Kluyveromyces lactis: one gene and its partners. The protein of the gene in region 6 binds, or shares a complex with, the protein of the main gene of each other region. Links are inferred from orthologs where the notes say so. Each region holds a gene or a part of one and is shown on either strand. Other genes may lie near its edges. The genes, in order: NUP1, NUP120, NUP188, NUP116, NUP133, NUP170 and NUP82.

Evidence for each region.
Region 1: NUP170 (region 6) and NUP1 share a complex: the UniProt entries of both Saccharomyces cerevisiae proteins name them as parts of the nuclear pore complex. The link is inferred for Kluyveromyces lactis from reciprocal best matches to the Saccharomyces cerevisiae genes NUP170 and NUP1.
Region 2: NUP170 (region 6) and NUP120 share a complex: the UniProt entries of both Saccharomyces cerevisiae proteins name them as parts of the nuclear pore complex. The link is inferred for Kluyveromyces lactis from reciprocal best matches to the Saccharomyces cerevisiae genes NUP170 and NUP120.
Region 3: NUP170 (region 6) and NUP188 share a complex: the UniProt entries of both Saccharomyces cerevisiae proteins name them as parts of the nuclear pore complex. The link is inferred for Kluyveromyces lactis from reciprocal best matches to the Saccharomyces cerevisiae genes NUP170 and NUP188.
Region 4: NUP170 (region 6) and NUP116 share a complex: the UniProt entries of both Saccharomyces cerevisiae proteins name them as parts of the nuclear pore complex. The link is inferred for Kluyveromyces lactis from reciprocal best matches to the Saccharomyces cerevisiae genes NUP170 and NUP116.
Region 5: NUP170 (region 6) and NUP133 share a complex: the UniProt entries of both Saccharomyces cerevisiae proteins name them as parts of the nuclear pore complex. The link is inferred for Kluyveromyces lactis from reciprocal best matches to the Saccharomyces cerevisiae genes NUP170 and NUP133.
Region 7: NUP170 (region 6) and NUP82 share a complex: the UniProt entries of both Saccharomyces cerevisiae proteins name them as parts of the nuclear pore complex. The link is inferred for Kluyveromyces lactis from reciprocal best matches to the Saccharomyces cerevisiae genes NUP170 and NUP82.

Annotation. Positions count from the first base shown.
Region 1 is NC_006039.1:1,148,350-1,152,510, forward strand, and holds NUP1 (FG-nucleoporin NUP1), read left to right. Parts: upstream 1-1,361; coding exon 1,362-4,085; downstream 4,086-4,161. Other genes in the region: alpha-1,2-mannosyltransferase KTR1, read right to left, coding at 1-16. UniProt on the Saccharomyces cerevisiae protein: Functions as a component of the nuclear pore complex (NPC).
Region 2 is NC_006039.1:1,080,757-1,084,787, reverse strand, and holds the start of NUP120 (Nup120p), read right to left. Parts: upstream 2,801-4,031; coding exon 1-2,800. Other genes in the region: FAR8 (Far8p), read right to left, coding at 3,185-4,031. UniProt on the Saccharomyces cerevisiae protein: Functions as a component of the nuclear pore complex (NPC).
Region 3 is NC_006041.1:969,499-972,019, reverse strand, and holds the end of NUP188 (Nup188p), read left to right. Parts: coding exon 1-2,021; downstream 2,022-2,521. Other genes in the region: U6 snRNP complex subunit PRP24, read right to left, coding at 2,048-2,521. UniProt on the Saccharomyces cerevisiae protein: Functions as a component of the nuclear pore complex (NPC).
Region 4 is NC_006042.1:2,465,853-2,470,046, reverse strand, and holds the start of NUP116 (FG-nucleoporin NUP116), read right to left. Parts: upstream 2,801-4,194; coding exon 1-2,800. Other genes in the region: KLLA0_F26686g (uncharacterized protein), read right to left, coding at 3,557-3,796. UniProt on the Saccharomyces cerevisiae protein: Functions as a component of the nuclear pore complex (NPC).
Region 5 is NC_006037.1:703,054-706,982, reverse strand, and holds the start of NUP133 (Nup133p), read left to right. Parts: upstream 1-1,129; coding exon 1,130-3,929. Other genes in the region: rRNA-binding ribosome biosynthesis protein RPF2, read right to left, coding at 1-694. UniProt on the Saccharomyces cerevisiae protein: Functions as a component of the nuclear pore complex (NPC).
Region 6 is NC_006041.1:1,830,246-1,832,304, reverse strand, and holds the end of NUP170 (Nup170p), read left to right. Parts: coding exon 1-1,559; downstream 1,560-2,059. UniProt on the Saccharomyces cerevisiae protein: Functions as a component of the nuclear pore complex (NPC).
Region 7 is NC_006042.1:156,109-159,810, reverse strand, and holds NUP82 (linker nucleoporin NUP82), read left to right. Parts: upstream 1-1,138; coding exon 1,139-3,202; downstream 3,203-3,702. Other genes in the region: mannose-ethanolamine phosphotransferase LAS21, read left to right, coding at 1-342; MRPL37 (mitochondrial 54S ribosomal protein mL54), read left to right, coding at 548-844; SDH8 (Sdh8p), read right to left, coding at 3,349-3,702. UniProt on the Saccharomyces cerevisiae protein: Functions as a component of the nuclear pore complex (NPC).

The DNA of each region.
Region 1 (4,161 bases), on a different chromosome or scaffold from region 6:
TTCTGGTCTCGCTCATGGCTTATTGAAAGATTACTGAACAGCTTTCTCCCAACCTATTTCCAATTGAAATAAAGAAAAATAGCGGATTTGTTAAGAAGAAATCAACAACGACCAATGTGGTTTCAGGATATTCACGTCAAACGATCAAATAACTTAGTAAAGCACCTAAGGAAACAAAAAACGATACCGAGTTGTTAAAGGTAAAATGCCTTCGTTTGTAATTTTTCAGTTTTCTTCAATTGAACAGTGGATATACGCTATTCTAATATCACATTTTTCTCGAGGCAACCCAGATTCGATCAGGGAATATTGAAAACTACAAAAAAAAAAAAAAAACTATATGATACCATTAGCAGAGCTCAGCCATAAAAATAGCACATTTATGACATTTATGACATTTATCGATCTCCCACTTCATGACTCGTAGTCGAAGGCATCGTGCGATGTTCCACTGCCCATTTTCTTCTAGTGTAATGATTCTTTTCTTTTCGGATTTAGACTTATGTGTTCGTTTCAGTCTTCTGTCCCTTCAAGGTGTTTTTTGGGATTTTCCTTGACCGATATGGCCTCTTCGTTTCGGAATCAAGCGGTCTGTTCTGTGGTGTCGAAGCCTCATAACCACATTCGGTGTTGCACTTTTTACTTGATTTCCTCCATGACGCGTTCTTCAAGGTTTCCCCAAACTAAAAAAAAAAAAACAAGATGGGACGAATGTATGACAGGATGGGGAGAAATCGGTCACGTGATAATCTGAATTTCACAAGAATAGAACACTTGTACTGTTAAGCATGGCATTGATGCACACTACGTTCTATCCTGTGCGTTCTTGCAGTTTAACGTTAAGTTTTTCTTTACTTATATATCAATTTGTTCTTTTCGATCCCTCATGTCACTTTCAGGCCTTATGTATAGAAAAATGAACAAAACTTGAGTTCTATATAAAACTTGAAAGCTAAAATAACGAAAAAGGGTACTTTTGTATTAAGTGGACGGCAAATCTTTAAACTTTCATAATGTAGAATCGTTATAATAAATTTTGGATAATAGTCGAGCCCCATATTGATGTTTTGGAACTAATGCAAATTTATGTCCATCTCCTAGCTAGACTCTCTTATACTGACGCCTTGGTTAGTTTAGGTCAATATGTGTCAAACCGTACAAAGTGATTATAACCCTGTAAGAGGAAAAAAATAACAGCTAGGAATGTTAGGACTTGAAATATCGAATTATCAAATATCGAATAATACCTTTATTAATACGCAAGAAAGTTACAGAAACAGCAGTTTCGAAAGAAATAGGAATCGAAAACTTGAATTGGACTCTGGTTCACTTGCCGCATATCACGGCCACTTTATAGAATAATGTCGGCATCATATCTGGAAAAACCCAAAAGATCGATTTCATCGACTTTGGCATCATTATTTACCAAGCATGACGATACGAATAGCGAAGATCCGAATATAACAAGGTCGCACAATGAAGATATCAGTGATTCAGGATCAGTGGTCATCAAGAGGCAAAAACGTGGCTTCGACGGTTACGAGGAATTGGTTTGGAATAACGAAAAAATCACCGATCACCCGTTAAATCACAATGGCATTGATGATATCAATTATGATGAAAGACCGAATATTTTCTTGTATGAAGGGGATTCTGAACATGGTGTAAGGCCTCCAGTACTAACGATAGAACCGAAACAAAGATTGCGGCTACTAAGGATGCAGCAACTGCGCCGTGCTCGGCAATTCCCACTTTTACAAAGACAATTACAATCAGCAGAGAACGGCCTATATCGCTTAACAGACGGCAAAAATGCTACTATAAAGAATTTACTCGTCAACAAACTACAAAGTGACAAGAAAAATCATAGGGTTTCCGATAACCCAAAGTCCAAGAAGTGGAAAGCTGATTTTCAATACGATTTATCAGAATATGATATCTTGAAAAACGACAAAAAGACGAAACCAGTATCTGCCTCAATGGGGAATTTGGAATCTCCTAAACTACCACATCCATTGCTAAAAAGGAGTACCTCTTCAAAGAAACATGTCAATACTTTTGATCAAACAGGAGTGCCTAGTGGATCTGGCTTAACTGATGTTCAAAGCAGGTTATTACAAGGAAAGACATTGCAAAAAAATCCAAAGATAGCACAAGAAGTAGTTGCACCAACACTATCATTGAAACCTATCGTCAAGGAAAAAATATCAGAAGATAAAGTTTTAAACGCTAACGGCCCAAGTGTTGGATTTGACTTTATGAATAGAGACAGTACTTCTATTTTCCCAGGTAGCACAGATACACCTACCAAACCAACAGTATCCAAAAATATATCTTTTGGAAATACCAAATTGGATTTATTCAACAATGATAAACAGAAATTAACGGCCCCTTCTCAGGATTCTGAAGAGTTACCAAGAAAAAAGAAAGAATTTAGTTCTACTGAGGACACTGTTAAACCATTTCCCTTCACAAGTTCTAAGTCGCTGGAAACATCAACTGAACCATCGAAACCTGCTTTTTCTTTTGATGCGGTAAAAAAAAACAACACAGCTACAGCCAATGGAGGCACAAAAATCTCAGATGGTGCTCCTTCTTTCACCTTTGGTGATTTATCAAAAACCAAGAAAGAGACCAAAAAAGCTGAAACATCCAAAAACCCCTTTGAGAAATCCGCCCCCGAACCTGTTGAAAATCTGGCTAAAGACGGCCTCCCTAAGTTCAGCTTCACTGGTGCGGATACAACTGGGATATCAAATATACCTACATTTAGTTTTGGAAAATCTTCAGAAGGCAAAGAGATAGCTAAACCCGCCCCTTCATTCAGTTTTGGCAGCCAAAAAGATGCAGGCGAACCAACTAATGTCAGTGAAATGTCAAAACCTATGTTTAGCTTCAACAAAGGAAAATCATCTACTCCAGATCTGACCCCATTGAGTACCTCTCAATCAACTAATACACCTAAACCACTATTTCAGTTTGGTTCCAGTGGTAGTACTGAACCTGCCGCAAAGAGACCAGATGGTACAAAAACTGAAGCACCAGTGCTGCCATCATTCAGCTTTGGTGGTAAACCTGTAGGAAATGATTCGTCAAAAAATATTGAGAAGGAAAAAGCTAAACCTTTCAGTTTTGGGCAAGCTTCGAATACATCAGCATTTTCTCTCAACCAACAGCCTTCAGCAGACAACGCGACAGAGAAGCAGGAAGCCAAAAATGCCGTCAGTACTGCTGTAAAACCTGCATTCTCCTTTGGTAGCACCCCAGCAGCCCTACCTTCTGATACAACCCCAAAAGAAGCTGCTGCACCATCATTTTCGTTCGGGACCACAAAGAAACCTGTTCAAGGTGATATGAGTTCGAAACCTGCATTCTCTTTTGGAAGTTCCTCTGCCATCCAGCAGCCCTCAATTGAAAAAGCTTCCAATGCAATTCCTTCGTTTGCAAGTCAGAACACCAGTGGCCAGCCTGTCAGCGGACTCAAATTTGATTTGACAGGGTTTAAAAATAATAATAGACAAACTACTCCGACTCCGTTTTCAGATTCATCAAATGTTGGATCTGCTCGTGGAAGCAACCCTCCTGTCCCATTCTCATTTGATAATGTCGTTCAACCTGGGAATAAGATAAGTGTAACGCAGCCTACTCAAACTACATTTACTTTTGCACAACAAAATCAAAAACCATTTACTTTTACTGGAAGTGGGCCAAGCACTACCAACAGTTCACCTGCATTTGGAACCAGTTCCAATCAGCCTAATGTACCTTTTTCATTCGGCGGAAGCTCAGCTTCTTCCACTCCCCAGGTACCAGCATTGGGTACCGGTTTCGGTAATTCTATGCAGACAAACACATTTAATCCTTCAGCCGCTGCCAATTTTAATTTTGGTGGTCAACCATCTCAAAGTCCTTCTGTAGTATTTGGATCCCAAACCCCGCAACAGAATCCATCGTCCATATTTTCCGCTGGTCAGCAGAATCCAGCGGACATATTCAATGCGCAGGCTTCAACTCCTCAAGGAGGGGCACCATTTCCACCGCAGCGCAAAATTGCTATGCCCGGTAGGAGAAGAAGAAGAGGCTAATAAAGGAAAACAAAGGCTTTGCATCTCAATTGTAACAATTATTGCATGATATCATTCCTTCCGACATCTTTACATT
Region 2 (4,031 bases), on a different chromosome or scaffold from region 6:
TTTTATAGCTGTTCCAATCAGTGAGAGAAACTTGTGATGATAAAATTGAAGCTATAATTTTATAATCACTCACACATAATAGTATGGATCCGTTGGAAATGTTTGCATTGTAGCATTCTTGGAGTAAAGTTGCAGTGAACATTTCACTGTACTTTTGATCACTCAGCAGTGTATAATAGTATTTTTCTCTTAGGCTTATATCAAGGACTTTTTGTTCCAACCTCAATACATCCAGGACTTCTTTATAATCGCCAAATACTATCAATGTATCTAAGTATTGTATCAACTGATCTGCTCTTGTACCATCAAGTGATATAGATTTTTTGATGGTTTTTAAAGCATTAGCATACGATGAAGCTTTGGAACATAGAACTGAAAGTTCATAATAGTATGCTGGTTTATCTTTTGTATTGATCGCATGAAGGAGATTGTACCAAACGTGATTTTCAGTAACCTCCAGATATTTAGGTAGTGAGAGCTCATCAGAGAAGTCATTTGCCAAGAATATTTCAATAGATGCATCATATTCATTGCATTTGAACAAAGAAAGAGCATATAGTAGTTCTTCTACTGGATCCTTGGACACATGGTAAGGCTTAGCAACAAAGTGTAGGAATTGCTTTGCACAAGTCAAATCTTCGCCGTTCAATATGAAATCGGAAAAGGCTCTTGTAAATATTGGAGGTTCAGCTGTTGGAGAATTCTTGACAAAACCAACCATTAATGTAGTAAAGTCGGTTATATCGCTGTAAGATTTCAATTGTGCACCATAATTGTATTTAGTAACATGACCGAAGGTCTCAGAAATTGCCAATAATTTATCTATTTGATACACTTGGAGCCACAATGAGATATTGAAGTGCAAGGTAATTAACTTAGACAACTTCTCTGCAAAAACTTCATAGTTGATATCCACAATAGTGAATACTAACAATATATCAATGATAAACTTATCCATAATGGAGAGTGTCTGCTTCAAGGATTCCATAGACAAAACAGATAAGAAAATGTCAGTATCTAATAAATCAATAACTGAAAAAGCACCTACTTTCAAATCACAGTGTATAAATTCGGATAAAACCTCCACCACATCAATAGAATTTAGATTTTCCAACAATTTTGATAAATTAGCACTTTGGAAACCATTTGTTAGACAATCTTGAAAGACAATGGTAATTTTATTTTTCAATGATAACGAGGGATTTATTGAACCATTTACCATGTCTAAGAACTTCTCAGATATCTTATTTAACGTTTCAGATGTAATGGTTGTTGAAAAACCATGCAGGATATTTAAGAAAAGCTCTAGTTGAGACGAGGGTTCCTTTCTCTCAAAAATGTTAAAGAAAATTGTTTCAAGTTGTGAGTCTAACTTATACGTGGAATGATGATACATGTGTAAGCTGTTAACAACAATTATCTCATCATCAAGAATAGTTAGAGTTGAAGGCTCCTGATATTGTTTATGAAGTTCTTTCAAAAGAGCTTCTAGATTATTCAAATAATCTTGATTATGAGGATCATTTATCTGCACCATGACATTATTTTTATTCAGTATCTTTTGTGCGTCATCGTACGTTGATTGTGAGTAGTGTGACTTGAGATTGAGGAGAGCCTTTTCCATATTTCCGTTTGTTATTAGGTCTGAGTCATCAAGCAAATCAGAGAGGTATGTGCTGTTACCATCAATCCATTTGTAGCTACTATACAGAGAGTCTTCGAAGGAGAGTAGTTGTAGCTTGGTCACTGTGTTACTTTTCCATAATAAAACCAAGTTGAGTCCCGATTGTTTGACAATTGAGGATTTTACTAATTGAATGTCAATTAAAGACCATATTGAATAAGATGAAAGATTGAGAGGTATATTAACGTTTAATGGTTTGAAGGAGATTCTTGAAGAATGCGTATTTTCTAATTGAATGACTTGGAACGATCCATTACCTGCAGGTAGGTATACAAACAGGAGAGATCCACAAATTATCATGTATTTTCCGGCAGCTCCATAATTCACCTGCTGGTTTTTCTCTTTTAGATCGAAATGCGCATTTAGTTGATATGTGGTTAAATCCCAGATTTTAATGGTTGCATCATTCGTTAATGTGACAAGATACTTGTCATTCAAAAGTTCTGCAGATACCACTGCAGAGTTGTGGTTATCGTACTTTGAAAACATTCTTGTAAAACTTTGAAAGTATGAACTATCATTGAATAGGACAGGTTGCAATTCAAAATCGTTTAATATTTCGAGCGGAATACGTTTTAACCCCAAAAGACCACCATCTTTTAGAAATACTACACTGAAGGTGTTATCAACATGAAATAGACACTGTGGAGGACGTACTGAGAAATCATACGGGTTTAAAACCTTCAACCAATTCTCAGGATACTCATTTTGACGAGTTCTCGATAGAATAAAATCGATAGGCAATGAAAGGTTGATGAAAATTCCATCCTTTAAAATCACATCAAAACATAGGTTGGAGGTCGTTTCACTAGATTCGTATACGACTGCAGTAAACCATTTGTTCAGAAGAGGTTTTGGAAAGTGGATATATATGGTTTTCCTTGCAAAAGTTTCCTTCATGGAGTAAATACTCAAAACAGTGTAATTATTACACCATTGGAAGGACAACGATTCATCAATTAATTTTAGTTGCAACAGTTTGCTGTACTCTACGGAAGTTATTTCTTCTGTAGATGATCCAACATTCCCATTGACGTATAAATGTTGGGCATTGTCTGATGAGTGCTTCGATTTTAATTGTAGTAAATTTGTATTCAGACGAGAAAAGCTGGTCATTTTTCGCAGTTTCAGCTTTACCTCTCAGCTGTTCAATAGTAATGTTGTAGGTTTATGTTCCGATTTAGCCTGTAATTGAAGTTCTCTGGTGGCTGTTCTCTTCTGTTTACCGATTCCACTTCATGTCAGATTGATTTCAACATGTCTTTTCTCATTGTTGTTGTAACCATGAAAACAATATTATCCGGGTAACTTATAACTGAATTTTAAGGTCGCTTGGGCAATAATTTCCATGTTGTGAGGAGGATTATATAGGTACTCTGGGGATACCATGTCTATAGACGATGACGTTCGTCTTGTACTGTTTTACATGAGCATTATAGATTATTTTCCTATATTTCTCTTTGAATTATAGCGGCAGCTTTGATTACTATAGCATTGCGTTCATAAGCTCATAATTTTTTCTAGTCGTATCACACCGTTATAGCCACCAGAAACGATTACAGGGGTATCATCTATGACTGTGGATGCAATGGCAATTGGTTGCACTTCAGCGGGAACCTTCTCAGGGTGTTCATAATGATTGTATTTTCTAATTACTTTACCATCTTCTTTGATTGACTTCACGAGTATTGAACCATCCTTCAAAGCGGTGACAGTGTACTCCAAATCATTGAGGAAAATCGAGGAAATAGCAGATTCTGCGGTAGAAGACACTAAAATGGTCTTCTTCTGATCGAAAGAGTAAATCAGAGTTTCTGTATCGAATCTCACAAGCAATTTTGATGTCGACCTGTTCAATGCTAATTCATTATTTGTGTGATGGAATTGGGTCAGCGAATGAGAAAGATCGATTTGTTGTAAAAGGGAGCCTTGAAAGTCGAAGATAGAAATCTTTACGTTTTGTTTTGAACTACCATTTAATATTATAAGCGATTTTTCCGTTAATCCCAACAAACAATTGAGAATCTTATTGGGGACTGAAATGACGAATTCATTAACCTTAACGATACTGGAGTCATCGATTTTAATTTCCCAGACCCGTATCTCGTTAACGAAAGTCAAAATTAGCCATTTATTTTTGAAATCTACAGATTGTAAGCCTTCTAAATCCTTGAGGCCATCCCAAGATATGACAGGGTCGCTCTGGCTTACGTTCCACAACTTGACGGAAGTTTCATCCACAGTCATAAACCTTGTTTTATTCAACCAAAAAATACCCAAGAGGTTAGGCACACAGTGAAACGCCTTGGTTGCCTTTTCATTAGAGTTCAAACTAGGTTCAATGAGC
Region 3 (2,521 bases), about 860 kb from region 6:
CCCCAAAAAAATCAGAACCATCGAATAGCGCCTCTGAAACATCAATTCTTTCTCTCCTTAAGAAAAATGTCTTGAAGCTAGATTGCTACCCGGAATCTGTGGCTTCTCGACTTCTTGAAGCAATCTCATATGCATTCAACTCTTGGGCTGCTGCAAGGAATAATACAGCAGATAAAGAATTTATAGATTTTCTCGTCAAAAGGCTAGAAAAGTTCGAGGACAAGTTGGCTCCCGATTCGGTTGAGGCGACGATTAAATTATCCAGTCACTATCGTCTTCAAGCGAGGATTGCTGAAATATTTGCCCTTCATCTATTCACCTCTTCACCTTCAGATTCCACCATAACAAACATGTTAAATGGACCCCAACTTGTTGATATCGTTAAGAGGATATTTTCTATAGACGGATATGATAAAACTCTTCATTTGACTCTCGCAGAGGAATTCAAAAAGATTTGGCCTCATCTGGATATAGAAAAATTCGCTATTTCACCACTTTATAGAATCGGTAAGGCGTACCAGGCGAACATATATGACATTGAACTTCTTGATCAGTTCTTCTGTTGTGAAGAAAAATGGAGAGGGAACGGGTCCACTCCAGGGTTTAGAGAACAAGTTATAAAAAGCTCTATCAACTTACAATATGTGTCTTTCCAAATTTCAGCAGCAAAATCATGGGGAGCTCTTTTGACCGCATTCATTAAGAAAACTCCAAAGCCTTTACAAGCTTCATATGTCGATATTGTTACCCAACTACTCGCACTAAATGTTGAGCATGGTGTGGAGGCACCTATCTTCTCTGAAATATACCTCCTAAGAATCGAATTGGTGTTTTACATACTGTATTCATTCTTACAAACTTCTATGAAGATACCTGAGGATAAGCTTGAAACTCTATTGTCACAGCTTTTGGCAATTTTAAAGTCTAAAGAGGTAGATTACCTCGGAAATATCGCACAATCGAATAAGAATAATCAATATAGACCTATTCTTCGTTCGATTTTGATGTTGTTAACTTTGGCAAAACCTTACCCTATGTTTTCAGAAAGATATTCTGATAGTCTATTGGAAGTCTTCGAGTTAGCTTTTTCAAAAGGTGTTAATTTGATCTTGTCTTCTATATTATTCTCATTCACAATAGCCTCCAACAAAGGTAAAAAAGTTATTGTGCCAAATCTTGCCGACAAAATTCAAGATTTGTTACTATTACTATCCCTTTTCACAAAAATCAAAGAACTGAACCCTTCGACATCCTTTAACGCTGTATTGGCATCCTCGCTAAATGAATTTGGAACCTTAAAATCACTTTTGAATCTTTACTACAGTTCATATCTTTTCAGATCTCATGATGAACCCTTATTCGCGGAGCTAACCCTGTCATTCATTTCTGAGCTTGTCACAATTGAAGAAGTTGCACAAAAGATTATAGATAACGGGCTCTTCTCTGTGTTCTTGGAAAGTCCGATTTCGGTGTCAATTCAACAATCTGGGGCTCGCCCAGAATTATCACCAAGATTGCATAACATATGGTCCAATGGCATCATATCGATTATTCTTCAACTATTAAGTAAATTCGGATCTGGAATACTTTCGGAAGTGTGTCTATTTGTTTCATATTTCTCCAAACAAATAGATCTTGCTGTGGGGGGCTGGTCGTCTGACTCACTGTCCATAACTCAAGCATATATCCAGGAGACTTCCCAGATAATTCTTTTGCAGAAAATGCTAGATAAACTTGAATATCAGCGTTATTTGTCTGTTAATGGTTCCAAATTGAAGGTCATTGACGAAGAAGAGATAATAGAGTTGTTCCCTGGTTTAGACACTAGCTCTGAGAGAAACGATTTGGCAAATGTATTGAAACATTTGTTAACTCACCCAAAGTATATGAATTCTCGGATCATCGCGACAACCCCAGACAAACAAAAGATGATGGAAGATGAGGTCTATAGAAATCAGCTTCTACATTCTATCACCAAGCAAATCTCAGAACTTCAATCATCCTTGATGTCAGATTTATAAACAGGTAGGTTTATATAGTATTAATATTATTTAGATAGAAATAATTTTCTGAAGTCATCATTGCTCAACTTTTTGTCATTTTGTGACGCTTGCTGTGATTTAATTTCCTTTACAACAGCGTGCTTTGGTTGATTCAAGGTTGTTTTGTGTTCATTGGGATAATGAAGGGAAAGTTCATGAGCAGAAACACATTTCAAAATTCGGTTCTTGAACTTGTATCCATTGATTGCAAGTGAAACTTTTGCGGTAATTGCTTCTTTGTCCGCTATTATTAAAGCACCTTCATGATCAGAGACCAGCAAAACCTTCGTAATATCCGGAGGTCTAATTTGAGCTTTCTCCGTAATGAAAGCAAGAATTTGATCTGGGGTAATCTGATCAGACAATGGGTATATTCCGACAACTTTTGGGTTTTCTTTTCTGGAAGCAAGCAGACGCTTCACCTCTTGTCTTTCTAGATAAGCCTTTCTCATAACTTTTGAAACGTGTAATGGCTTACC
Region 4 (4,194 bases), on a different chromosome or scaffold from region 6:
TCTGTTCCATTTTCTTTTGTGGTCCGTCGTCAGTATTGAAGATTATGAATTTCAATTCACCAGATGAGGTATCATCTTCTTCCATCTTTTGGCGATTGATGATAAGGTTTTTGAAAGACTTTTTGTCTGGATTAAAGAGGAGTTCTCCGGTAGTTAAAATAGCCTCATCAGTAGATGCAGTGAAAATTGAAGAATCCATAGGCTTTCTTGTTAGAGCAGTCGAACTAGTGTCTTCCTCCTTGGGTTTTGATAGTTTTAGATGAATTTTAACCTTTCTGGAGTTCGGTTCCGACTTTTTAGAGTCAAACAAGGGTTTTGGAAGCAGCTTGTATGCTGCGGAGAGGGAGTTCTTTTTCTTCAAGTCTGCAGAAACCATTGTGGCACTAGGCTTAGTTGGTTGAGTAATGGAATTAGGAATAGAGATAACACGGGAGAATAGCTCATCCGTACCATATGGATTGGAGTTCGCTTGTGCTGCTTGCTGCTGGTTTTGCATTTGTTGGTTTTGTTGCAAGGAAGATGAAGAGAATAAACCACCTGTATTTGCATTACCAGAAGTGTTGTTTTGTGATCCAAATAATCCTGTCGAACCAGTATTTGCTGGCTTATTCGCAGAAAATAAACTTCCGCCACCAATTGATGAGGCATTGTTCGTGTTTGTTGCGCCAAAAGGTGCAGTTCCGGCAGGTTTTCCACCGAATAATCCACCTCCAGTGGTACTACTCAAACCACCTGTTGGTTTAGTGCCGAAAAGGCCACCAGATGTTGACGCACTATCAGCTGGTTTGGCACCAAATAGACCACCAGTAGCCGTATTCTGCTGTTGTGTGTTGCCTCCGAATAACCCGCCGTTGGTAGCTCCTAAAGCGTTAGTGCCGGAAGGTTTGGCACCAAAGAGACTACCCGATGATTGACCTTGTTGCTGGTTGTTTTGACCAAATAGACCCCCCGTTGCTGTGTTGTTCTGGTTGTTATTTTGACCAAACAATCCGCTAGATGTATTCTGCTGCTGACTACTTTGGCCAAATAATCCACCAGTAGTTCCTGTTGGTTTTGCACCAAACAATCCTCCGGTGTTGTTTGCCATACTGTTGTTCTGCTGACCAAATAAACCACCGGTGTTAGGTTGCTGTGTTTGTTGGTTCTGATTACCAAATAACCCCCCCGTTGCAGACGGTTGATTACTTTGTCCGAACAATCCGCCAGATTGTTGTTGCTGATTATTTTGACCAAACAGCGCGGAACTACCACCCATTACAGTTTTATTTTGAGCTCCGAATAACCCAGTTGAACCTTGTTGACTTTGGTTGTTTGATCCAAACAGGCCACCGGTAGTTGGCTTCGCACCAAATAATCCTCCGCCCTGTTGATTCATGGAGTTGCTATTTTGTTGTCCGAAAGGACCGCCAGTGCTAGCTGCGTTACTTTGTTGTCCGAATAATCCTGTACTGTTTGTGTTAGATGGTTGTTGCTGTCCAAATAAACCTCCGCCAGTATTGGTGTTGTTTTGTCCAAACAATCCACCCGCCTGAGTATTGTTTACCTGACCGAATGGAGTAGAATTAGCAGCATTTTGTTGACCGAAAGGAGAGGGTCCGTTCTGTGCTTGCTGACCGAATAAACCGCCACCTGTAGTTCCACCTGGTTTTGATCCAAATAATCCACCTGAGGTGTTATTATTCTGACCAAATGCGTTATTGGCGTTACTTTGTTGACCAAAAAGTCCACCAGTATTGGCCGCTGTGGTGTTATTTTGTCCAAACAAACCACCCGGTTGATTGTTGGTGTTTGTTTGGCCGAAAGTGCTCCCAAAGGTGTTTGAACCAGTATTTTGACCAAATGCGTTACCTGGGTTTTGCTGTTGGTTTTGTTGACCAAATAATGAGTTGTTGGCTTGACCAAATGCGGAATTATTATTGGTGGTGTTTTGTCCAAACAGACCTCCAGAGGTAGCCGGTTTGTTTAAACCGAATGGAGAAGAACTTGAAGCAGTATTTTGCCCGAATGGAGAATTATTCTGCTGTTGTCCAAACATGCCAGTTTGCTGTTGCTGCTGTGGTTGGCCAAAGGGAGTGTTATTAGGTTGTGAAAATGCATTTACAGGCTGTTGCTGGCCAAAAGGTGAATTTGCAGGCTGTTGACCAAAGGGAGTTGCGCCACCTGCACTGATGGTATTTTTATTTCCTAAACCAAAAGTGTTGTTAGTACCATTTGTCTGTTGTTGACCGAATGGCGAAGCAATAGCAGAAGCTGTCGGACCTCCAGCAGTGGTGCTAAATTTCCTATTTTGTTGATAATCTTGGAACCTCAACTCTTCAAACGAATAAAGGCTATATTCAGGCATACAAGTAATAGATTGAAACACCGATGGATATCCAGTTGACACATCCTTTTCCGTATAAGGTTGGAATGGCTTGATTCCAGTGCCAGAAGGAGGTCCAGAAGAGAGAACGCCTGTCGCTGTACCACTAGATTGGCTACCACCAAACAGGGATGGTGGGTTCGACAATGAATTACCTGCTGCTGCTCCTGCTGCTGCCCCGCCAAACGGAGAAGTAGTTGTATTTTGCTGTTGTGACATACCGAATGGGGAATTTATAGTTTGCGTAGGGTTTGTATTAGCGCCGCCGGTACCAAACCCACCAAACCCTGATTGCGCGTTGTTGGCAGAGCTGGATCCAAACAGATTGTTTGTGGTTCCACTATGCTGTTGACCGAACGCATTGGTTGTTGACTGAGTTTGTTGGCCAAAAGGAGAAGTACTCGTCTGTCCAAATGCCGGTCGAGAAGCACCAAACATCAGTGGGTCAGGAAATCAAGTGAGGTGACAATTGATGAAAAAGCTGACTAGGAATAAAATAATATGTCCTTCAATGACACAAGTAATCTCTAAGTAGATAATACCAAAGTCGTAGCGTTTTGGTTCAATGGTATTTTTCTGAGAAATAATTTAAAGATGAGTGAGTGTCCTTGTTCTCTGATTGTGAAAGAAGAAACACACTAATCAATTAACGATCTATAAAAAAATTTCCCACTTTACGCACTGTATGAATACTTTTATTGGTCTCAGTTGCTGATAGTATGACTGAAAGACAAATACGACAAATCATATAAGCCGAAACATTGCTTGCATCAACTTAGAAAACGTTAGTTCTTTATCATCAATTAGTTGTTTACTTCAAGGATAAAGAAATTTTCAGAGGTGAGGGATGACCTAAAATCGTATTAAGTGACATAGCGTACGTAGTGATACGTAGTTTTGGGGGATTGTGATGTAGCAGTAATTACTTGAGCACAAGGGAACAGCTGCTAATGCAATTCTGAGTTGGCTCCCTGTTTGAAACACTTAATTCCAATATGTTATATATAATGAATTCCGTCTGTTAAATTACCCAAAAAGTATATATGTTCTATATAGTCGAAAGAAATGAAAATAAAATGAGAGATAAAGCCAGGCAGTAAAGGCATTAAAAGATGCATCTCTCTGGTATGCAAATCTTCGGTAGACACAATAAAGTAGATGTGAAACCCCCTTATTGGCTTTAATACCATAGCGTCATAGGCTCTCTAGGCCATTCATTACCTCATTCATAAGTAGATAATTCTTCAAATTCCTGGGCTTTAACGACCCTGTCGTTAAATCCACGATCAAATCTTCCTCTTCATCAGAATCACAATAGTCTTGCTCTAGGTCTGGAGTCGATCTGGGAACTGAATTTAAACTTTTGAAGCATTGTACTATCACCTGGGAAACCTGCTGCGTATCTTTGGCTTTTCCAAAATTGTCTGTGAACATTGTTGAATATTGTCAAACGGGGACGCTAATGGGTATATTGTAGTAGGCGCTTGTTAAGCCTATTCGGAGGTCGGTATCCTGTGTTACTCCTTATTATGAGACGTCTTTCTTACACTTTTTAACTTATCAATACAAGATACAGACAACCTCGAATCTATTACATAGGCCTTGTCAACAACTGAAAGGTTATTCCTTATATATATATAACCTCCATAAAATATACTACAACAAGATAACAATAACACACTAACAAATTGTGGTTAAATCTCTGAAACAAAATGGACCACTTCTGTGGGCAAAGGAATCAAAAGGCAGCCCGTTAATGTGCGTTATCATTTGACACTTTCACAATAACCTCTCAGCAGGAACTTCAAACACCGATCTTTTCATCAGCCTAA
Region 5 (3,929 bases), on a different chromosome or scaffold from region 6:
AATCGAATCTTGGACCAATCTCTTCCAATTCCACTCTAGGTAACTTCTTACCACCTTGTTCGGACTTGTAAGTCTTCAAGTGATACACTCTGAATAGAACATTTGGTAATGGTTCACCGTCTTGGAAATCACCTTGGACAGTGATAGAAATGATATGTTGCAAACCTGCAACATCTTGCAAAGTGGTATTCTGACCTCTGAAAAAGTCAAGGAACAATGATTTGATATGCTGGTAAACTGGATGTTGTTCAAAGGCTGCACCTTGGAAACTGAACATTGGCTTTAACCCAACGTTAAAAGTTTGTTTTCTGAAATCAGACAAAAGTTTATAGTTTTCTGCAATCTGCAACTCGATAATATCATAGATCTTATACCCAAACGTACGAATAAAAGTCAAATTGTTTCTTCTCTTCTTAGAATGTGTGCTCAACACCATAAGCGATGTATCATTCTTTTCAGATAAAAACTCTAATGGTTCATAATCTTCAAAAGGTCTGATGTTGTTCTTCTTGGAGAATCTCTTGATATCAGGCTTCTTCAACGCACTCAAATCAACCATTGAATCATGCAACAACTTGGTAGAAGTTTGACCAGGAATGAATAAAGCTTGCTTTACATTCTCAACCAATTTTGCTTCTTTTTTATCCAAAGCCCTTTTAGCACGGGCATTCTTAGGCTTTACTGTTCTGATCATCCTGGTGTTTACGGTGTCTTGATACAAATCACAACAATTACACCTTATAGGATAGAAATCTGAGCCAAAAGATGAACTATGTAGACTGTAACTTAGCTCATCGCATTTAGCTCATCGCATCGATTTGTTCCAGTTTAAAGATTTAATTTTCCAAGTTACTTGATAAGTGAAAAGAAACTATTCCAAAGTCACGTGGCGGAAAATGTTTCACGTGACATCACTTATGACGATTTCTTTGGCGACAATGAAAACAGAAACATTGACCAAGATTTTAAACAATGAGCATCAGAGAGTCTATTTACCTTTATAATTACAGCAATGCAAGGTCAAGCTAGGTTCGGCTAACAAGGTAGTGGATCAATTGAGATTAGAATTTCAAAGTTTTACATTTGGTGATTCTTTTGGCTTTTTTTTTCAGTGTCAAGATAGTACAAGATGAAGCAATTGTTTCAGCTCAGGAAAGAGCTTAGTGTACCAGCAGCAGCACCAGAGGATTCAGTAATCTCTGCTGAGGAAACGACAACTGGTTCTGCTGTCACCAATGTACAATTTTCGAATGAACAAGTTATCACAGAGAATGGGAAGTATAAGGTATCGAAGTTAGCGCCAAGTTTAAGTTTTTTGCCCAGTAATGTGGAATTATGTTGTAGCGTTGATGCAAAATCTGGGTACGCCTTATGCTGCGATACTGATAATGTTTACGTTTGGCCATTTTTATCTTCTGAAACACACCCTAGTTTTGTAAGGATTCCATTACATGACGAGGAATATGAATCATGGTCCCGTCCTCCATTATGTTGCTTTACGTGGCCTAGTGTGCTCGAACGTGACTTGAAATCAAGCCCTGGCTTATTTTTAGTGAACAGTAGATCCGGTGACATTCAATTCTATGAAGATGTTGATACTGTGAGTCAAGTGGCAAGTTTCTTGACGCAAACCAAACGTCATAAATCAGTTTTAAAACTACGTGACGGTGAATATGTAGAGAATTTGATTAATGCAGAACCAGCTGGAATATTACTTTCGACAAATTACGGGCGTGTTGAGTTTTGTACTATAAGAGATGCTAACGGGAAACCTTTTGTATCGCTAAAACAAACCATAATAAAATGTCAAGTCGGAATCTTTTCATCCATGTCCAAATCAAAGAGAGTGGTATCTCTCAAATTGGGCGAAATCAGCGGTAAAGGAGAAAGAATAGTTTCTATTTTAACCCAGGGCGGGCGATATCAGGTGTGGAACCTTTCATCTGTTGGGAATTGTTACAAAAAGATCGATTTAAATGTACAGTCTGAAATTTCACAGGCAGTCTTAGAGCATTTCCCCTTGGCAACATCTACACTGAAACTACTCGATTGTCATCCTTTATCAGGAGACTCGGATGCATACTTGTTCTTGAGTTTCTTAGCGGAAAGTAACGAAACGCACTATTTACTATCAACCATCATTGTGGATGAAGATACTAACAGTTTCGCTATCTTCTCTACTTACAGATTAAACACATACACGCGACCATTATCAGATGAATTTGCCCCAAGACTTATAGTCCCAACTGCATACACCAAGGAACATTTACCGATAACGTCTGTTTACACTTTATTCTCTGATGCTGCTGTCCTAACTCAAACAAGTTCCAAATTGGACTCTAATTATCCATTTAAAAGGAAATGGGAGGACATTATACGGTTTAACAAAGATATGAAAGTTCTTGGGTACGATTGTAATTCAAGTTCCTTATACATTACTGATGGAAGAACATGTGCGTTAAAGTTGGAGACTTTTGAAAAATACGAAAACTCTGACTTCCAAGAAATTAGATTCATAAAGTCTCATGTGGATCAATACGTCTATTTTGGAGGACAATCAACGGATTCATTACTAGACTTCAACTTACCTGACAATCTAGATCTACAACCACAAGAAATTGAAACAGATATTCAAATGTCCAGTGATGAGATTAAATATGCATTATCAAACCACATACCGCCTGTTGCTAACAACCCCATGAAACACTTAAAAATAAGAAGCGAACTTTTTGAAAGACTTCTCACATTTGTTGCTCATAATTTTTTGGATCAAACATCTTCCCAATTCAAACTGGACTTGATTTCTGATTTTGAAATGATAAAATGTTTGGAAAGCTTGTACTCTTTACTACCGCAACAACCAACATCTATTTCACAAGCTTGGAAGACAGTACTATCAGAAAGTTCCTATCAATCGGATTCTGATTTTATCTCAGACGGCATTGTTAAGATTCCAGAATTATTGGGCGCCTTTTTGAAGCATTTGAAAGACCTAATGAAATCCACAAATGAAACTATGTTAAAATCTCAGATCGCAAAGCTTATAAATCAACTAGTTTATCATTCCATATTAGAAGAATGTGAAAACAGCTACAGGTATGGACTTTTCCAGATGAGCCCAGATGATGTATCAAAAAATATCCCTTGGTTCACAACAAATAGCATAATAGAAAATCTTAATGACATCTTCTTCTTGTTAAGGCATGCCTCTGAAGATCTTGCCGTTGTGTCAGAATTTGTAGAGGAATTACTGCTATTGGTTAAGTCTCTATTTTATATGGTCAGGCAAATAACCATGTGGATTGATGCAAATGCCATTACTGATTCTAGTTATAAACAGTTTTTCGAAGAAAATCATTTACTTTGGAATAGGGTCCTTAGGGATGTTAACAGGTCTCAGGATTCAATTCTAATCACAGATTTTTACCAAGACTTTGAAGGCTTAGTTGAAACTTTGCAATCTCTGCCAAAAATTACCGCATTCTCTCTATACGATGAATTCTTCCAGAAATACGGATACGACTTTGCAAAATCCTTATTTTCCTACTATATCAAGGAAGGGCTATGGGATGATCTTTACGAATCGTTTGGTGAAACCCATTCAGAATATTTGGACCAGTTCTTAGGAGAATGTCCCGAGTATGGCAAAGTTAAATGGATTGGAAACATATATTGCCATAAATACGACGAAGCAACTACAACTTTGTTGAGTATTTCTACTGGAACTCAATCGCTGGGTCAAGATTTGAAACAAAGACAGGCACAATTGAGTATTGCCAAATTAACAGCTCTTGCCGCGGAAGTTCAAGATCTTGAAAAGCTAAACGAAATTCAAACCGAATTAGATCTCATCGATGGGCAAATTCTTCTATCCCAAGAACTACAAGAATCAACTCTCAACCCACTATTCAAAGACTTTACCACCTATC
Region 6 (2,059 bases):
GAAGTATTACAAAAGGTGGATCTATTGAATACATCGCTACTGCACTTCAAGAACGCTGTGGATCGTTTTGTTCCACCGGTGATGTTCTTGGCTTTAGAGCTGTCGAGCACTTGAGAAAAGCAAAAGAAATAGGACTCAGAGATCAAGAAACACTCAACTATCACCTAACCAATGCAGCAAAGTTATTTGAAAGAATAGTTGATGATGTGTCTTTAGATAAGATAAAAGAGGCTGTAGGTATCATGTTGGAACTTAATTACTACCCAAAAACCGTCGAATTTTTGTTGAATATTGCCAATGCGATGGACAAGGGTAAATTGGCACTTCAATATGTTGCAGATGGATCTTTGGAACACGATGAAAGGAAAAAATACTACAATGCTAGAGTTTCGATCTATGAAATTGTGTTCGAAACTTTAATCAAAGTTGACCAACTAGCTGCTCTGCCTGAAAATGTTAACAATCAAGATATTCAAAAAACCCGCGATGAGGTTTACAACGTTACTTTAAAATATAACGACAAATTATTCCATTATCAAATGTATGATTGGTTGGTACAGCAAAAGTCTGAAGAAAAGCTTCTTCAGCTAGACTCAGATTTTATTCTACCATACTTAGAAGAAAAAGCAGCGAAATCCCTAGAAATTTCCAATCTTCTTTGGGTTTACCAATCCAAAAGATCGCATTTCTTGGAAGCAGCTCAAATTCTGTATTCATTAGCTATTTCGGATTTCGATATTCCTCTACAAAACAGAATTGAGTACTTGTCAAGAGCTAACGTTTTCTGTAATGGAGTCTCTCCGCCAAGCCAAAGGCAAGCCATGATTCAATTATCTGGCATGATAAAAGAAGTTGTCGATGTAGCAAGCATTCAAGATGAAATTGTCCGTGCTCTCAAGGATGACCTCAGGATTGATTCGACTGTCAGAAATGAAGCCTTGCAACAACTTGAAGGCAAAATTTTGACCGTGACTGAACTTTATAATGACTTTGCCGCACCATTGAGTTATTATGAAATTTGTCTGCTCATTTTCAAAGTCAGTGACTTTAGAAATCATGAGGAAATCATATCGAAATGGGAAGAGCTTTTCAGTTCTTTCAAGGAACATTTATCAGAGAACAATGCTACGGATGAACTGGAAAAAAGCACTACTTTCATTAGTCTAGCATCATCAACAGTGATTCGTGTTGGTAAGAATGTACGTACCAGTGAATTTGTGTTCCCAGTTGTTGATTTATTCCCACACATCTGTAGCCTAATATATGAGAACCTTCCAAAAGAACACATCAAAGCAGGTTCAATTGCATCTATTTTCATCCAAGCTGGCGTCTCATACGACCGAATGTACCATGTTCTCAAAGATTTAATTGAAACAACTACCAGCTCCAACGATATTTACGAACAAGAGATGGTTTGGCTGATTAAAGAATGGTATCACTCTGACAGAAAATTGAGAGATTTGATACCACTAGAAGAAATTCGTTCCTTCGACAAGTATTCAATTGAAAATGACCCATTGGAAAATTACAAAAAGCGCACAGGTGATAGTGTGTTTTGAGTTACTCTAACCTTTCAGCGAGATGGTAAAAAAAAGAACAGCTTTAGTTTAAAACGTCTGTTGTGGTGTTTATTTCCCTTTGTATACTATATTGATAAATAACATTTTCACCCCAATCTTAATAAACAAAACAACTAATATCAATATTGCTTTCTTATGATGTTGCGATAAGTCTTTGGTTATGGAAAGAATATATTAAACCGAATTTCGACCTGCAATCTGCTGAAGAGGTATATAAAATTGTATATTTATGAAGAACCTCTTTCGAAGTGAAAAAAAAAAGCCTAGAGATTTCATTATGGAACGGCAACATATGACTTCATCAGCAGGTATTATAAGCAACGCTTTGTCCAGATCTAGGGAACTGTTGCAGCTAGAAATATGAGAATAGGATAAATAGAAGGGAAAACATATCAGAAAGATTTCAAATACTGCTTCGGTATATATCTAGAGCAAAAGGTGTGGAAGAATAGAAAATAATAGCATCGTAGACATTCGAC
Region 7 (3,702 bases), on a different chromosome or scaffold from region 6:
TTTGGTGGTACGAACTCCATTGCAACTGTCAATCTAACTAATGCATACAATGGTGTTAGTAGCAACTATAACATATACGTTGTTGGTGTATTAATGTTCTTGTCTAACTACGCACCATCCATCTACTGGGCTCTCTCACTAATTCCTCAAAGCTACAAACAGAAGACACTACGCTTGCAGCATTACTATATCACCGGAACATGTCTAATGATAGCGTGCATTGCACTAAGGTACCACCTATTCATTTGGTCCGTGTTTAGCCCGAAACTATGCTACTACGCGGCCTGGTCCCTCTATAATGTCGTCATGGATTTCGCCATTACCCTGCTTGGCGTTTTGTGAATTCTTAGTTTTTGAATGAAAAATTTCGATAAAATCAACATTTTGTACCATAGAAATTCAAATTGGACTGTAAATGATCATGAACTTTGATAGCCGCAAGGCAGGACAAACTTGCCAAAACTTATTGTTGAGGTTCGAATTGGTATCGGCAACCACATACCCACCATAACAAATCGGTTATTTTTCATATTATATAAAGAGAGAAATGTTGAGAGTGACTCGCGTGCTATTTAACCAAGTGAAAAGCGAGGCATCTGGCCAAGCTGCCAAGATCGTGTCATCATGTCCAGCTGGCACTCCATTGAACTTACAAATCAAGAAATCCGGTAAGGAACCCGTGGCATTAGAAGACAGCGAATACCCTGAATGGCTCTGGACAGTGCTTGATGCCAACGTCCAAGCTGAAAAACTAGCAGCTGATCCAATCAAGCTAAGAAAAAAACAATTAAGGATAGCCAACCGTGCCAACATCAAACAAAATAACTTCTTAGCAAAGATTTAACGGACCCACAGTATGATTCACGCCTGTAAATATATATACATATAAAAATGACATAAAGACACATATCTAACATAACTTTTTGATATCTTTCGTACACTTCCTTTTCTGCAATACTGGATCTGCTATAGGTATTTTTTTTTTTTTACTATTAAAGTTCAAAATATTCAAAATATATCGACGATGAACTACTCTCACGCTTCTTGAAATACACGTAACACAGATCAACTGGCGATCTAACTGTGGTACCTTCTCTTCCATAACTTTAACTGCCGGATATTGAACCAATATAGTGGGATGTTACTCTTCAATACAGAAGATTTGAAGGCAATCTTCCAGGAAGTGTCTCTGAACCCTTCCGACCGTCTTGTCTGCAACAATTCCAACACTATTTATTTATGGCAGGACAACATCTTAAGAGTGCAATCAGACCACGAAACGCAATACAGGAGTTATAATGTGGAGCTTCCATTCGTTCCAGAACAAATGGTCATCAGTCCGTCGGGGGGCCTTGTAGCATTTCATGCGAACAGCGAGCTCTATGTCATGGAAGTGAATGAGCAATCTAGATTAAGAAAGCATTTCAATACCAGTCTAGGGATAAAAAAACTATTATGGCATCCTCTGGCTACTTATGGGTTATCTTTCGTTATTTTGCATGATGATAGTACAATTCGAATTTATGATCTTGAAGACCTAGAACCCGAATCTATCACTGTTTTCAATCGTAAATCGAGATCATTTGGGTTATCAGACCATGTGGAATCAGTTTGTGACATTGCATTTGATCCAACCGGTTTGACACTTTATCTGCTGAGCTCCTTCAATTACTGTGACATATATGCTATCCATCCGTGTCTACCAAAGAATTTTTCCCTACGCAGTAATGATACATCAAATGTCACATCAAGGACGAAAAATGGTTCTTTAGCGGATTACATGTTGCACAAATCATTGTCTTTATACAATAGCCTCGATAAACAGCTAAAGCTGATATCAGGTTCAGATCCTGATGTGGAATCCGATTACCTCACCTTAAAGCATGATCTATTGAAACAAATTCAATTTTTCGACAACTATAAAAAAAATGATGGTATAGACACATTCACGAGCAAAGCAATCAGGAACTCTGTACCACAGGGCCCGTTCATTATAAAAAAATTTCCGACAGCTTTGAATGCGAAAGAGGTCACAGGCTTGACAATCATACCGGTTGGAGAACGTTTGGGCCTTTTGAATCTTCAATTTATAGATGGAACAAACGTTGTGTTGTTCTCCGATTCTGAAATTGTCATGAGTTGGAGTTTACGCTCCAATACTACATTCAATAACCTTAGTGTAATAACAATGTTCAATGCAAAAGGTCAATGCCAACTACTAAACTCCTCGGAACCTAAATTAGTATTTACTGGTGATAGCTCCACGACTATCATGGAAATGCCATGGTTGGAACCATTGGCACAGTGCATAAGGCTTCATGACTTCTCTATCATTGATGATGTTAAGTTTGAAAATAAAATAAGAACAGTTTCAGGAACTTTCCTCGGTGTTTTATCTACCTTGTCTGGTGATATTCTTTACAACGGCAATTCCTTCAAGGTCATCGAGAGTAACGACAAGAGCACCACACAGAAACCCATAAACAGAACCGATGAAGTGAAATATACATATAAACCATCGTTGCCAACGTCTGGAAAGGAATTGGATATGCTTTTGACGAAGTATAAAACAGAAGCCAATGGATTCATTTCAGGCATACCGGACTCTTTGGCTCCTCTCCCTTTGAAGAACAATTCCAATGAACGTCAATTGGAAGTGGTTTCTGAACTTTACAAGGAAACCATGAAGCGCGTCAAGTTGGGACAGATGATTTTATTTAGAATGTTCAACAAATCCAACGAAGAAGTGGCTGAACTCCATCGCCAATTAAGAAAAACCAACGAGATCGAAATGTTGAGAAATAAACTTAACGGAAACTTGGGAGACCTCCAAGAAAGATATTCCAGGTATGAGGAAAAGTCCAAGACGTTGGAAAAACGACTTGACAAGTTAAAAGAGACATTCTCCAGTATAGAAAATAACGAGAAATTAAGAACAAGCAGTATCAGCGAGGCCGAACTAGTGTGGTTCAAAAGTATCAAAAACCAGGTATTAAAGTTCAATAACTATGTACATCTGACAAACAAACTTCGCGAAGAACTAGAGTTTTTGGACACACAGCTTAGATCAACTACTAAAGGAGACGATTTCTTTTCCGAGCTAGAATTTAGTTCCCTACAACAAATGTTACTGAACGACAAAAAGGTCATCAATTCTTGTATGAATGAGTTAAGCGCATCCATTGAAGATCTAGCGGTATAATAGCAATCACCATCTACATATCTTTTTTTTTTCGTTTTTAGTTTTAAAACTGGCATATACCTTACTATATTATGTGCTACTTTTTATATCATTTCATTATGTGAATATGCTACTAACCGAATTTTGTTTTAACGTGTGAATGGCGCTCAAAAATCGGTGACTCTTCCGTTGAAAGAATAATCACCATGCCTTAATGGATCCTGCTTTGGTCCACCAATTTCTCCTGTTTTAGGATTCTTTTCGCCTTCGAACTCTGGTATAGTCTTCATAAATTCTGGAGAAAACCCACCAATATCGTTCTTCAAGATTGGCGATTTCACCGATTCCATAGTATGATCCGATTCAAACTGTGCATTATAAGAATCAATAGCTTCTTGAGAAGACGCTAGCTTCTGCAGCCTTTCAAACTCTTCCTGGTCTTCCTTTGGTAATGGTGGTGGACCTGCTCTTCTTTCTTGAAATGTTCTAATTTGATTCAACCTGACAAAGGCTGGTCTTAG